Linked DNA regions of Xenopus tropicalis. The protein of the gene in region 1 binds, or shares a complex with, the protein of each later gene. Links are inferred from orthologs where the notes say so. Each region holds a gene or a part of one and is shown in the gene's direction. Other genes may lie near its edges.

The links. The genes of interacting proteins can lie anywhere in the genome.
Region 2: med8 (region 1) and med24 share a complex: the UniProt entries of both Homo sapiens proteins name them as parts of the mediator complex. The link is inferred for Xenopus tropicalis from reciprocal best matches to the Homo sapiens genes MED8 and MED24.
Region 3: med8 (region 1) and med21 share a complex: the UniProt entries of both Homo sapiens proteins name them as parts of the mediator complex. The link is inferred for Xenopus tropicalis from reciprocal best matches to the Homo sapiens genes MED8 and MED21.

What each region holds. Positions count from the first base shown.
Region 1 is NC_030680.2:88,531,562-88,535,061, reverse strand, and holds part of med8 (mediator of RNA polymerase II transcription subunit 8), read left to right. Parts: intron 1-7; coding exon 8-126; intron 127-1,415; coding exon 1,416-1,560; intron 1,561-1,636; coding exon 1,637-1,777; intron 1,778-1,854; coding exon 1,855-1,936; intron 1,937-3,060; coding exon 3,061-3,306; intron 3,307-3,423; coding exon 3,424-3,488; 3' UTR 3,489-3,500. UniProt on the Homo sapiens protein: Component of the Mediator complex, a coactivator involved in the regulated transcription of nearly all RNA polymerase II-dependent genes.
Region 2 is NC_030678.2:112,543,924-112,548,067, reverse strand, and holds the start of med24 (mediator of RNA polymerase II transcription subunit 24), read left to right. Parts: upstream 1-1,344; 5' UTR 1,345-1,525; intron 1,526-4,144. UniProt on the Homo sapiens protein: Component of the Mediator complex, a coactivator involved in the regulated transcription of nearly all RNA polymerase II-dependent genes.
Region 3 is NC_030679.2:3,066,106-3,070,178, forward strand, and holds the start of med21 (mediator of RNA polymerase II transcription subunit 21), read left to right. Parts: upstream 1-1,273; 5' UTR 1,274-1,299; coding exon 1,300-1,341; intron 1,342-2,893; coding exon 2,894-3,008; intron 3,009-4,073. UniProt on the Homo sapiens protein: Component of the Mediator complex, a coactivator involved in the regulated transcription of nearly all RNA polymerase II-dependent genes.

The sequences.
Region 1 (3,500 bases):
CCTACAGAGAGAAGAGAAGCAGCTTGAGGCTTGCCTGGATGCCCTTATATCTCAAGTTTCTGACATCAAAAACTCTTTGGTTGGCTTTATCCACAAACTTGAAAATGAGTATGACCGACTGACATGGTGTGTTAAAGCAGATATTTTTAAAGTATTGAACACATTTGGCAGTGAAGACTATTTTCTATGTTAAAGGAGAGGTTTGCCTCAAAATTAGAACATTACAGATGAGGCACATGAGTTATTTCAAATACTCCCACTGGACAGCAAGCACTTGGCAAAGGCTACTAACAGTGCTTTATCTGGCATAACAACATATGCCAGATATGCCCAATATTATTTAGCCACAGATGGTTTGGAATCCCTCTGTCAGAAATAATCACAGATTCTGCATTGATTGGGATGGTTGGATCACACTGGAAAAGCAGTTGCAAATGTCTGCAAGTTAAAAAGTAAATTTGTGGGTGAATGTACCCAATAATAAAACACATTTTAATGTTAAACGTTTGGTTTTTCAGGTAGGGCAGTTCACTGTTTGATGAACACAAAAAATTATTGGCCAACATAAACTGAATACCCAGTGAAATTTAAGAAGGAAAGGCTTAGAGCCCAGTTGTAACCCTCAACACCCCCCCCCCCCCCCACTCCTGTGACCAGCGGCTAACCTGAAATCTCATCTGCTGTGTCTCTTATAAAACTACTTTGCAGTCAGTGATCTTGATCTTGCCATGCTGCATATTGCCAGACAACAGCATAAATCAACAAAACCATCTTGGAAACACCGAGTCTGTTGTGGTACCAATCAGAAACTGACATTTTCCCACCAACAAGGAAACGCCAATAAAATCTGAGTCCCCCAAGTGTTTGCAGAGAGCAGTGGAATCCACCTGTCAGGGGCCAGTTTTGGCCTGAAAATGCTTCTGTGTTTATTACTTCCACTATTCTGCATTTTTTTCTAAAGGGAATAGAATCTTTTGGGCTTCTTTCTGCTGAATCAATATCAGAGTGTTTGTCCCATCCTTGATTCAGTACAAACAGTGATAATTATTGGCATAAATGTATCATAGGGCCTTGATTTTTAAGCTTACAATCTTTTTTTTGCTTTTTAATTCTTGTCATATAAGCAACAGAAAATGTGTCTCTTTAAAGTCTAATTTTTTTTGCCTTCTATTTTATTTTTGTTTCTACAACCAAAACAGGAACTGCACATTTCCTTCGATTCAGCGGGTTTGCTTATGCAGCCATGGAAAGCGAATTTTAAATCTCCTTATACTCCTAATGCAGAATATATAATAATTGTAATGTTAATCTAAAATCCGTCAGTAAGGCAGGATTCGTATGGACTGAATTATTCCTGTTTTTGTGTGTCTCAGCCACATGTGCCAGTTTCTGTCTGATTAGTATATCTTTTTTAGGCCATCTGTACTTGATAGTTTTGCACTTCTGTCTGGGCAATTGAACACACTGAACAAAGTGCTTAAAAACGAGAAGACACCTCTTCTAAGAAACCAGGTCATCATTCCACTTCTTTTGTCTCCGGACAGAGATGAGGAGATCATGGTAAGTTTATGAAATAACTGCTTTTGATGACAAATCTTGTACAAACTTTGGCTGTCATACCTTTCCTTGCCTACAGCGTCTGACAGAAGGTAGGGTTCCAGTATTTAGCCATGAAGTGGTACCAGATCACCTGAGAACAAAACCAGACCCTGATGTGGAAGAGCTAGAAAAACAGCTAAGTGCTGAAGCAGCCCGTATCACCTCTGAGGCTGCACAGGTATAGTTCCCCTCTAAGCATTTTTATTGGTTTTTGCCACATTGTCCATATTGCTGATTTGGTTTTATTTTCTCTAGAAACAAGTTCAGAGTATGAACAAAATGTGTTCCAATCTGTTAGACAAAATTAGCAAAGAAGAGAGGGAGTCTGAACTTGGAAGTGAGTATTTGGTTTGGGTTGATAGCTGCTATGACATGTTGAGTTTGCTATAGTTCTCTCTGGACTCTGTGCAGTACCAGAGAATTGTTTATATAAATAGTGCTCTGCATTAAATCAGCATTCATAAGAAAATGTCAATTATCTACCAGTATATAAAGTACTCTATACTAGTTCTTTTTTTTATTAAAGCCAGTGTCCACACTTTGGGCAAATATCAGACATACTGCAGTAGTGCGGATGTGCCCTAGCACACTTATTATGTGCCAGCACCGGGAACATATCCTATTCTGTGGGAATTTACCTAAAGAAATATTATTATTTGCAAGTTTTTTTAGGCCACACCTTCAGTGGGGGAAACAGTTAAGATTGATAGGTGTCTTTTAGTTTCTAGGGGTCAGGATCCTTGCCACTGCTCCTCCTTGCTAGCCTTCACCAACAAACTGTCCTAATCAAATGGCACGGGTACATTTAATTTATATACTCACGCTGTTCTATGCTCACCCCCTTCGGTAAAAGCAGGTTGGGTGCAGGTATATAGGGAATTCCAGGAGGCCGGGTTGGGTTTGTGTTAGGGTTAGTACCAATCAACAATTAGTCAAACAAGGCATCTCTAATGCCATGTTTCTCTGCAATATGTAAAATATGAAATGATTGTATATGTGTGTTAAATATTTCATATATGTGTTTCTTACAAAGCTTAAGGGAGAAAATGGAGTTATGTAAACATGGACAAAGTTTGCCCTGGTCCATTAGCACACAGCAAACAATTTGCAGTTAGCTATTCACTGATCTTCTGCACTTATAATATTGGCAGACACTTTACTGGGCTGATATATGAATAGTAGAGGGGCTGAATGGAGAGATAAGTAATAATAATTAACAATAAAACTGTATCCTCACCGAGCAATAGTTTTTGACTGCTGGGGTCAGTGACCCTCATTTGAAGGTGAAAAGAAGCAGTAGAAGGCGGCAAAAGGTGACCCATCCCTTTAACACCTTTATTGACTACAAACTATCTAATGGATCCCATACTTGTAGTGTAGAAATAATGTGTATCACAGAATTATATTTTTCTGTAACTTCATGTTTTGGTCACATTGTACATGTGTAATTTCTTAATCTAGGTTTAAGACAGAACAAGCAAACATTTAATCCTACCGACACAAATGCACTTGTAGCTGCTGTGGCATTTGGAAAAGGACTTTCAAATCGTCGCCCACCAGGACAAGGTGGTCCTATGGCTCCAGGACAGACAGGAGCCAGCAGCATGCTTCCAAATGCTACAGGTATGCAGGTTCCAATGTCATTGCCACCAAACCAACAGCAACAACACATGGCTGGAGTATCAATGTCACAGGGCAGCCAGCCAGGTAGGTGCTATTTACATGGTTTACCTATTTTAGTAATGGATATTCTCTTTTTGTATGTATTCATTTTACTTTGACCACATTCCTTTATGTAAATTATCTTTTAATGTCATTAAACAGGTAAGATGCCCAGCAGTATTAAAACCAACATTAAATCTGCCTCAATGCACCCATATCAGCGATGAAAGCCTGTTCTG
Region 2 (4,144 bases), on another chromosome or scaffold:
TGCTGATCACTTTCTTTTCCCTTAGCCACACCCACATTCATTAGTAGAGTAAACGTTATCTTTTTGCCAGTACAGCACTCTGTAGTGCCAGTTTTCTCTTTACACCATGTTTTTGGATCAGTATGAAGAATCCTAGCTGCTCACTCAAAGGAAATCTGGTCAGCTGATGGCATTAATAACGATTGTTGGGGACAGTAATGGATGGTATTGAACTGGGTATACAGTAATCCAATTGTGTGGGGTGCACCTGGCACAAAGACCTTCTGAGCAGATGATTTTTTAAAAAACACTTGGTTAACAGTACTATAACCAGACATGTCAGCTAACCACATGTATATTTGCCATCTTTTTGCACAGATAATACCAGCAGGGGTAGGGGCAGGTCAGTATAGAGACTGGCTGTGACATAAAAGGGTGGATGGAGTTGTGACATCAAGGGTCAAATCTGATGTTGGTAGTATGACTGGTGTCTGTTGGAGCTGAGATGGGAGTGGTGTGCTTGGTCAGATAGATTAGTTATTACAAATATATATCCAAGTACATTGATGGTAAATTTGTAATACTGGCAATGCCCTAGGCTGGTAAAATACTAACCAGGTGGCAGCCCTAAACCTGTCAGTCAGGGTTTCCTCTTCACTTTCAATAGCAACATGAAAAATGGTCTTAAAAATACCCAGAGTGGTTAATTATTTGCAATATCTACATTTTTACAGGAGAGTTTAGGCCATGCCATGACCATGTTCATGCCCCTACTCCTCTGGCTCTGCCATCTTTACCTGAATCTGCGGGGATTTGGGGGTTTAGGCCTTTTAAATTACAAGATTGACTGAGCTATAACTATGGATGTCTAGGGCCAGAATAGCATTATTCCCAACCCAAATCTGCATTATCACCCTAAGGATTGTCTTGACAACTAAATCCTCAAATGCTGTTATGAGGTGACAATAAAGCACTTTATACTGAAGCCACTGTCCCTTTAATAAAAGCAGATCCAAAAACATATAACAGAAACCACTTATAAAGGAGATAGGAGACGCAAAAATACATTAATAAAATGACCAGTTGCAAAGTGGCTTATATTTCTTCCATCTTCTAGCTACTTCAATTTAATTTAAAAGTTAACTTTCCATTTAAAATATCAACCAAAAATGAAGCAGAAGTTGTCCCATGACAATTTGACGTTCCCGAAATTAGCCATCATTCCTCTCTATTAAAGTTGCCGTTTTGGCCTTTACAAAGATGGCGGGTTTTCGTTTCCTTATACGCAGCCAGCACGCTTTCCTCCTGTTTCGACCTTCCCAACATGGCGCCGATTCGATTTTTACACGCATCAGGGTTACGGATGACGTAAGCCGTAAAGGACTGGTACACCCTCCGCCCCCTTGCGGCGATTCCCTTTTGTGCGAGGGGTCGAAATTGTTGCTTCCGGGGACCGGACATCGGAGGCGATAGCCGAGAGAGGGAAAGCGAGTTACTCGGTGACTAGCGAGGCACTGTGGTAATAGGGACAGCGAATGAGTGAGAGGTGGGTACTGCTACTGTTACTACGAGCGTATATAGGAGACATCTCAGGGCACATAGAGACATGCTATAGTGTTTTTGGCAGGGTTTAGGTGGGAGTCTGAAGATTTGGTTAGGAACTGTATGACATACATGTGTATTGGGATTATATATATATATATATATATATATATATATATGCCAGCACTGTGGGTACTTACACATTACATGCTAATACTGTGCCATACAGGTGGTTACTTACAGGTGGTACAGAGGGCACTGTAGTTAAAAGTGGGCACTCCTTACTCCATCACTTTCCACTTCCTCAGACCCTGGTGTCAACAATGAAAGTCAAACCCACAGACTGAGAATTGCAGACTCAGATACACACTGGCCAAATTTACTACACAACTGTAGACTTGGTTTAACACTGTATTAGGTCTTTGGTACTTGGGTGTTTTGAGTGCCACTGCCCCTGTGTCAGGCAGGGTGCTTTTCATTGATTAACATTACAACTAGCTTCAGACAAGCCCCCTGTGTGTAGTTTTAGTTTTAAATGGGATCAATATCTTTCTCCTTAAAGGAGTATTCCACCCAAACACAACTTAAGCATTTGGAAAAGTATACATGAATCTGGCTGACTACTTTGTGACTCAAATAAAATGTAACAGTAGTCACCTGTCTTCAGTCTGCATATTCCCAATCCCACAATTCCCTGTTGCACATGTGATGTCAATAAGGAAAGAAACATCACAGTGCAATGCATTGTGGGTTATGTGAATCTTGCATGCTGTCTGTAAGCTGTGGAGAGGTTGTTACAATTTGTAACATCAGTGTTTTAGTCCCTCCTTCCCTGCCAGGATTTTAAATGATACAGAAAGAGAAGAACTGTTTTGCAGCTAGATTTCAGCATATCAAAATGGTATTTATTCATACCTTTTGAAGGAACAGATTACAGTGATAGGTATATTAGAGGTTTCTGTGTTGTGTGGGGCTCTTTAGCAAATTTTTGTTTTGTTTTTGTAGTTCCCCTTTAATGTCATCAGTGTCTTACAGAACTGCTGCTTGGTATAGAACTGAGCAAAGAAGCATCAGGAGATTATTTCTTGTTCATTAAAGTAGAACAGCAGTGAAGCTTTTGTTACATACAATCAGTAATGAAGATGAAAAATTAAGATTATCTCAAAAAGTTATAAAGCTATGGTTCCACACAAAATCCTTTTGGCTGATTTTGAAAATATTCATTTTCACTTTTCAGCGTGACTATATGCATGCTGCTTTGTACTTTCATTTTTAATCAGTTTTCCAAATTTCTAATTGATATCTTTAACTTGAATTGAAAAATAGTTTGAATTTTTTAAATCCAACTCCCATTGACTTCAAGATGAACTTGTCAGCTTTTAGACACAGATTCTTTAATTTGAATCCCTGAGTTTCAGAAAATGAATGTATTTAGCTTTTTGCTGAGTAGCTCTCCAGTTTGCAATTTCAGCAGCTATCTGGTTGCTAGGGTCTTGGTTACCTTAGCAACCAGGCAGTGGTGTGAATGACTGGAATATGAATAGAAGAGGGACTAAATAGAAAGAATAAGGAATAAAAAGTTACAATAAAATGAAATTGTAGCCTCAAAGAGCAAATGTTTTTTGGCTAGTGGGGTCAGGGGACCCCCATGTAAAGATAGCAAATAATTAAAAAACTATTAAAAACAAATAATTAAGACCAATTGCAAAGTTGCCAATAGTACATTTTATAACATACTAAAAGTTATCTTAAAGGTGAACCACCTCTTTAAATCACAGTAAAAACTTGTATACAGATTTATATAAATCTGACCCTAAATGTTTTCTATGCCAGCAAAGAAAAGGCTGGCGTTGTTAAAACCTTGTTTTCATAGAAGACATTGGAATCCTCTGATTCCACTGTGAGAAGTAAAAAGAACCCTACAAATTCAGGATACCTTTTGGACAATTTCACCCATAATATTCTCCATAATTAACCTTTTTGCCCCTAAATTGCGAAAAATCTGGCCCATGTTTGCACATAAAACACTGGGATCCTCTGATGCATCTGTGATTTAAAAAAAACAAAAAACTCCACATTATTAAAAAAAATCAATTTCACCTATTTTCTTCCACTAAATTGGCCCATATTTGTGCCTAAATTGTGAAAAATCTGGCCTTCGTTTTCGTGTCGACTTTCAAAAGCCACTGTGAAAAAAAGAACCTAAACACACTAGATGCATTTTAGTAGTTTCATTCACTGTCTTTTCCTAAATTAGCTTTTTGTCCCTAAATTGTGAAAAATATTGTCGTCGTTTTGACAGAGCACTGGAATCCTCTAAAGAGCCTAAAGAACTTTGGCCAATTTTACACATTTTCTTCTGTTTAAGTAGCCCTTCGTTTGTGCATATATTGTGAAAAATCTGTCCCTAGTTCTTGCATTAAAAACACTTGGACCCGCATTCAGTCACTGCATTCTCTTAAATTACTTTTTTTCTTGTTCCAAAATTGTGAAAAAATATGACAGTTTGCACAAAAATTAGACCAAAGTCTGATGCCAAAGTAAAAGAGCCTAAAACATCAATTACATTTGCAAATCAAAATAACTGCTTATTTATATGTTACTTTTGGTGACAGCTGGTGTG
Region 3 (4,073 bases), on another chromosome or scaffold:
ACTGTACTGTCTAAGGGAAACACCATGGCACCCCCTACCCATATGTATAAATACAAATATACAGAGAGGGAATGTTCTGGGCACACAATAAGCTGTACCCCCATACTGTACTGTCTAAGGGAAACACTATGGCACCCCCTACCCATATGTATAAATACAAATATACAGAGAGGGAATGTTCTGGGCACACAATAAGCTGTACCCCCATACTGTACTGTCTAAGGGAAACACTATGGCACCCCCTACCCATATGTATAAATACAAATATACAGAGAAGGAATGTTCTGGGCACACAATAAGCTGTACCCCCATACTGTACTGTCTAAGGGAAACACTATGGCACCCCCTACCCATATGTATAAATACAAATATACAGAGAAGGAATGTTCTGGGCACACAATAAGCTGTACCCCCATACTGTACTGTCTAAGGGAAACACTATGGCACCTCCTACCCATATGTATAAATACAAATATACAGAGAAGGAATGTTCTGGGCACACAATAAGCTGTACCCCCATACTGTACTGTCTAAGGGAAACACTATGGCACCTCCTACCCATATGTATAAATACAAATATACAGAGAAGGAATGTTCTGGGCACACAATAACAAAAAAGAAAGTCTAAGCAGGCACTGCCCACACAGGCTTTTCAATACAGATAATAAGGGAAAGTCATATTCAATTTGGGTCCCAATTTCTTAGGGCCCTTATGTGCTAACCAGGGGCCCCAGGGCCACTGTATCTCTATGGAATTATCTTTATTTACTCGCTCTCTGAGACCCCCCAGTAACAGGATCAGGGTTAGAGAGCAATCCCAGCAATCCCACAGGCACCAATAACACTGTCTCTTTAAATTCTTCTTGATTCTATTTATCCTGAAACAACATAGACAGACTGGCGACTCTGTAGCAGCAACTCCACAGCAAAAGTGTAGCCCATGGAGGATTATGGCCCCCCCCCCCCCTTCCATCATAAATGGAATATAAAACCTGAATACAATTGTCCAATAGGCAGCATCGCCCTCTAGCGACCAAAAGAGGTATCACACTGAACGCTATTTAGCAAGTTGGCAGGGAACGTCCAGTGTAGGTAGAAGTACACATGCGCAGTCTCCTTTCCGCCGTTACAACCCCGCCTCTACTGAGGCTGGCCAATAGAAATAGGCGTTTCTCGTTCCTCCTATTGAGAAAACGCCGCAGTGACCCTTAGCCAATAGAAACCTTTATTGTACCAGTTAGCCAATAGGAAGCGGCGCTGAAGGTATGGGCGGCTGGTTCGGCTTTGCCAGCTGGAAAGATGGCGGACCGGCTGACGCAGCTCCAGGACGCGCTGAATTCGGTGAGCGCTTTATCTGTGTGTGGGGTTTGTGGGGTTTGTGGGGAAGGGAAATACATCCTCTCGCTGCCCGCAGTTGGGTCCCATCTCGGCTTTATAGTCACATTGTAACTAATGGTTTATTCCATTCATTGCTCGCAGCCCCCACACTGTGTCCAATGGATCTTATTACCCAGAACCCCATGTCTATGAGGGTTCCCTCAGCTGATGCGGATTATATCGCCGCCCCATCCCATATATATCCCCGTATATCCCATATATATCCCTGTATATCCCATATATATCCCCGTATATCCCATATATCCCCCTGTATATCCCATATATATCCCCGTATATCCCTATATATATCCCCCTGTATATCCCATATATATCCCTGTATATCCCATATATATCCCCGTACATCCTATATATCCCCCTGTATATCCCATATATATCCCCGTACATCCTATATATCCCCCTGTATATCCCATATATATCCCCGTATATCCCATATATCCCCCTGTATATCCCATATATATCCCCGTACATCCTATATATCCCCGTATATCCCATATATAGCCCCGTATATCCCACATCCCCCTGTATATCCCATATATATCCCCGTATATCCCACATCCCCCTGTATATCCTATATATCCCCCTGTATATCCCTATATATATCCCCGTATATCCCTATATATATCCCCGTATATCCCATATATCCCCGTATATCCCATATATCCCCGTATATCCCATATATCCCCGTATATCCCATATATCCCCGTATATCCCATATATATCCCCGTATATCCCTATATATATCCCCGTATATCCCATATATATCCCCGTATATCCCATATATCCCCGTATATCCCATATATCCCCGTATATCCCATATATATCCCCGTATATCCCATATATATCCCCGTATATCCCATATATCCCCGTATATCCCATATATCCCCGTATATCCCATATATATCCCCGTATATCCCATATATATCCCCGTATATCCCATATATATATCCCCGTATATCCCATATATATATCCCCGTATATCCCATATATATCCCCGTATATCCCATATATATCCCCGTATATCCCATATATATCCCCGTATATCCCATATATCCCCGTATATCCCATATATATCCCCGTATATCCCATATATCCCCGTATATCCCATATATCCCCGTATATCCCATATATATCCCCGTATATCCCTATATATATCCCCGTATATCCCATATATATCCCCGTATATCCCATATATATCCCCGTATATCCCTATATATAGCCCCGTATATCCCTATATATAGCCCCGTATATCCCTATATATAGCCCCGTATATCCCTATATATAGCCCCATATATCCCATATATAGCCCCGTAAATCCCTATATATATATCCCGGTACAGATAAGTACTTGCTATTGGCAGCAGTGCCCAGCTCCACCCCCAGGTTCTGACTCCTGACACAATGTAGCAGGTCAGTTTAATACCAGCCTATTAACTCCCTCAGTGCCAGGGGGGCATTGGATGAATGGAGTTGTAACCCCTCCCCTTTGTCTCTCCAGCTGGCCGATCAGTTCTGCAATGCCATCGGGGTCCTCCAGCAGTGCGCTCCCCCCGCCTCCTTCAGCAACATCCAGACGGGCATCAACAAGGACCAACCGCCCAACCCCACTGAAGGTGAGAGACTGCGAGTGGCCCCCAAACTGCCCCGTTACCCACCCAAATGCCATTGTAACCACGCCCACTGCGCACTGACACACCCCCAGCACTGACTACCAGACCAGCACACAAAGGGTGTGAAACTGTCTGTCACTGCTCTGTGTGTATCAGCCAATGCGTTTATAGACACGGGGTAGGAGTACCGGGAAATACACTCCCCCGTGCACAGGAAGCAGAGACAGTCACACGGGTACCAGGAAATACACTCCCCCGTGCAAAGGAAGCAGAGACAGTCACACAGGTACCGGGAAATACACTCCCCCGTGCAAAGGAAGCAGAGACAGTCACATGGGTACCGGGAAATACACTCCCCCGTGCACAGGAAGCAGAGACAGTCACATGGGTACCGGGAAACACATTCCCCCGTGCACAGGAAGCAGAGACAGTCACACGGGTACCAGGAAATACACTCCCCCGTGCACAGGAAGCAGAGACAGTCACATGGGTACCAGGAAATACACTCCCCCGTGCACAGGAAGCAGAGACAGTCACACGGGTACCAGGAAATACACTCCCCCGTGCACAGGAAGCAGAGACAGTCACATGGGTACCGGGAAACACATTCCCCCGTGCACAGGAAGCAGAGACAGTCACATGGGTACCAGGAAATACACTCCCCCGTGCACAGGAAGCAGAGACAGTCACATGGGTACCGGGAAACACATTCCCCCGTGCACAGGAAGCAGAGACAGTCACACGGGTACCAGGAAATACACTCCCCCGTGCACAGGAAGCAGAGACAGTCACATGGGTACCAGGAAATACACTCCCCCGTGCACAGGAAGCAGAGACAGTCACATGGGTACCAGGAAATACACTCCCCCGTGCACAGGAAGCAGAGACAGTCACATGGGTACCGGGAAATACACTCCCCCGTGCACAGGAAGCAGAGACAGTCACATGGGTACCAGGAAATACACTCCCCCCTATATTTATATCAAAACATTATATCGATTGTTCTGCTTTAGTGCCTTCATACTCGTTTCCCAGTCTGTTGCTATGGGCCTCTGTAGGGGAAGTTCA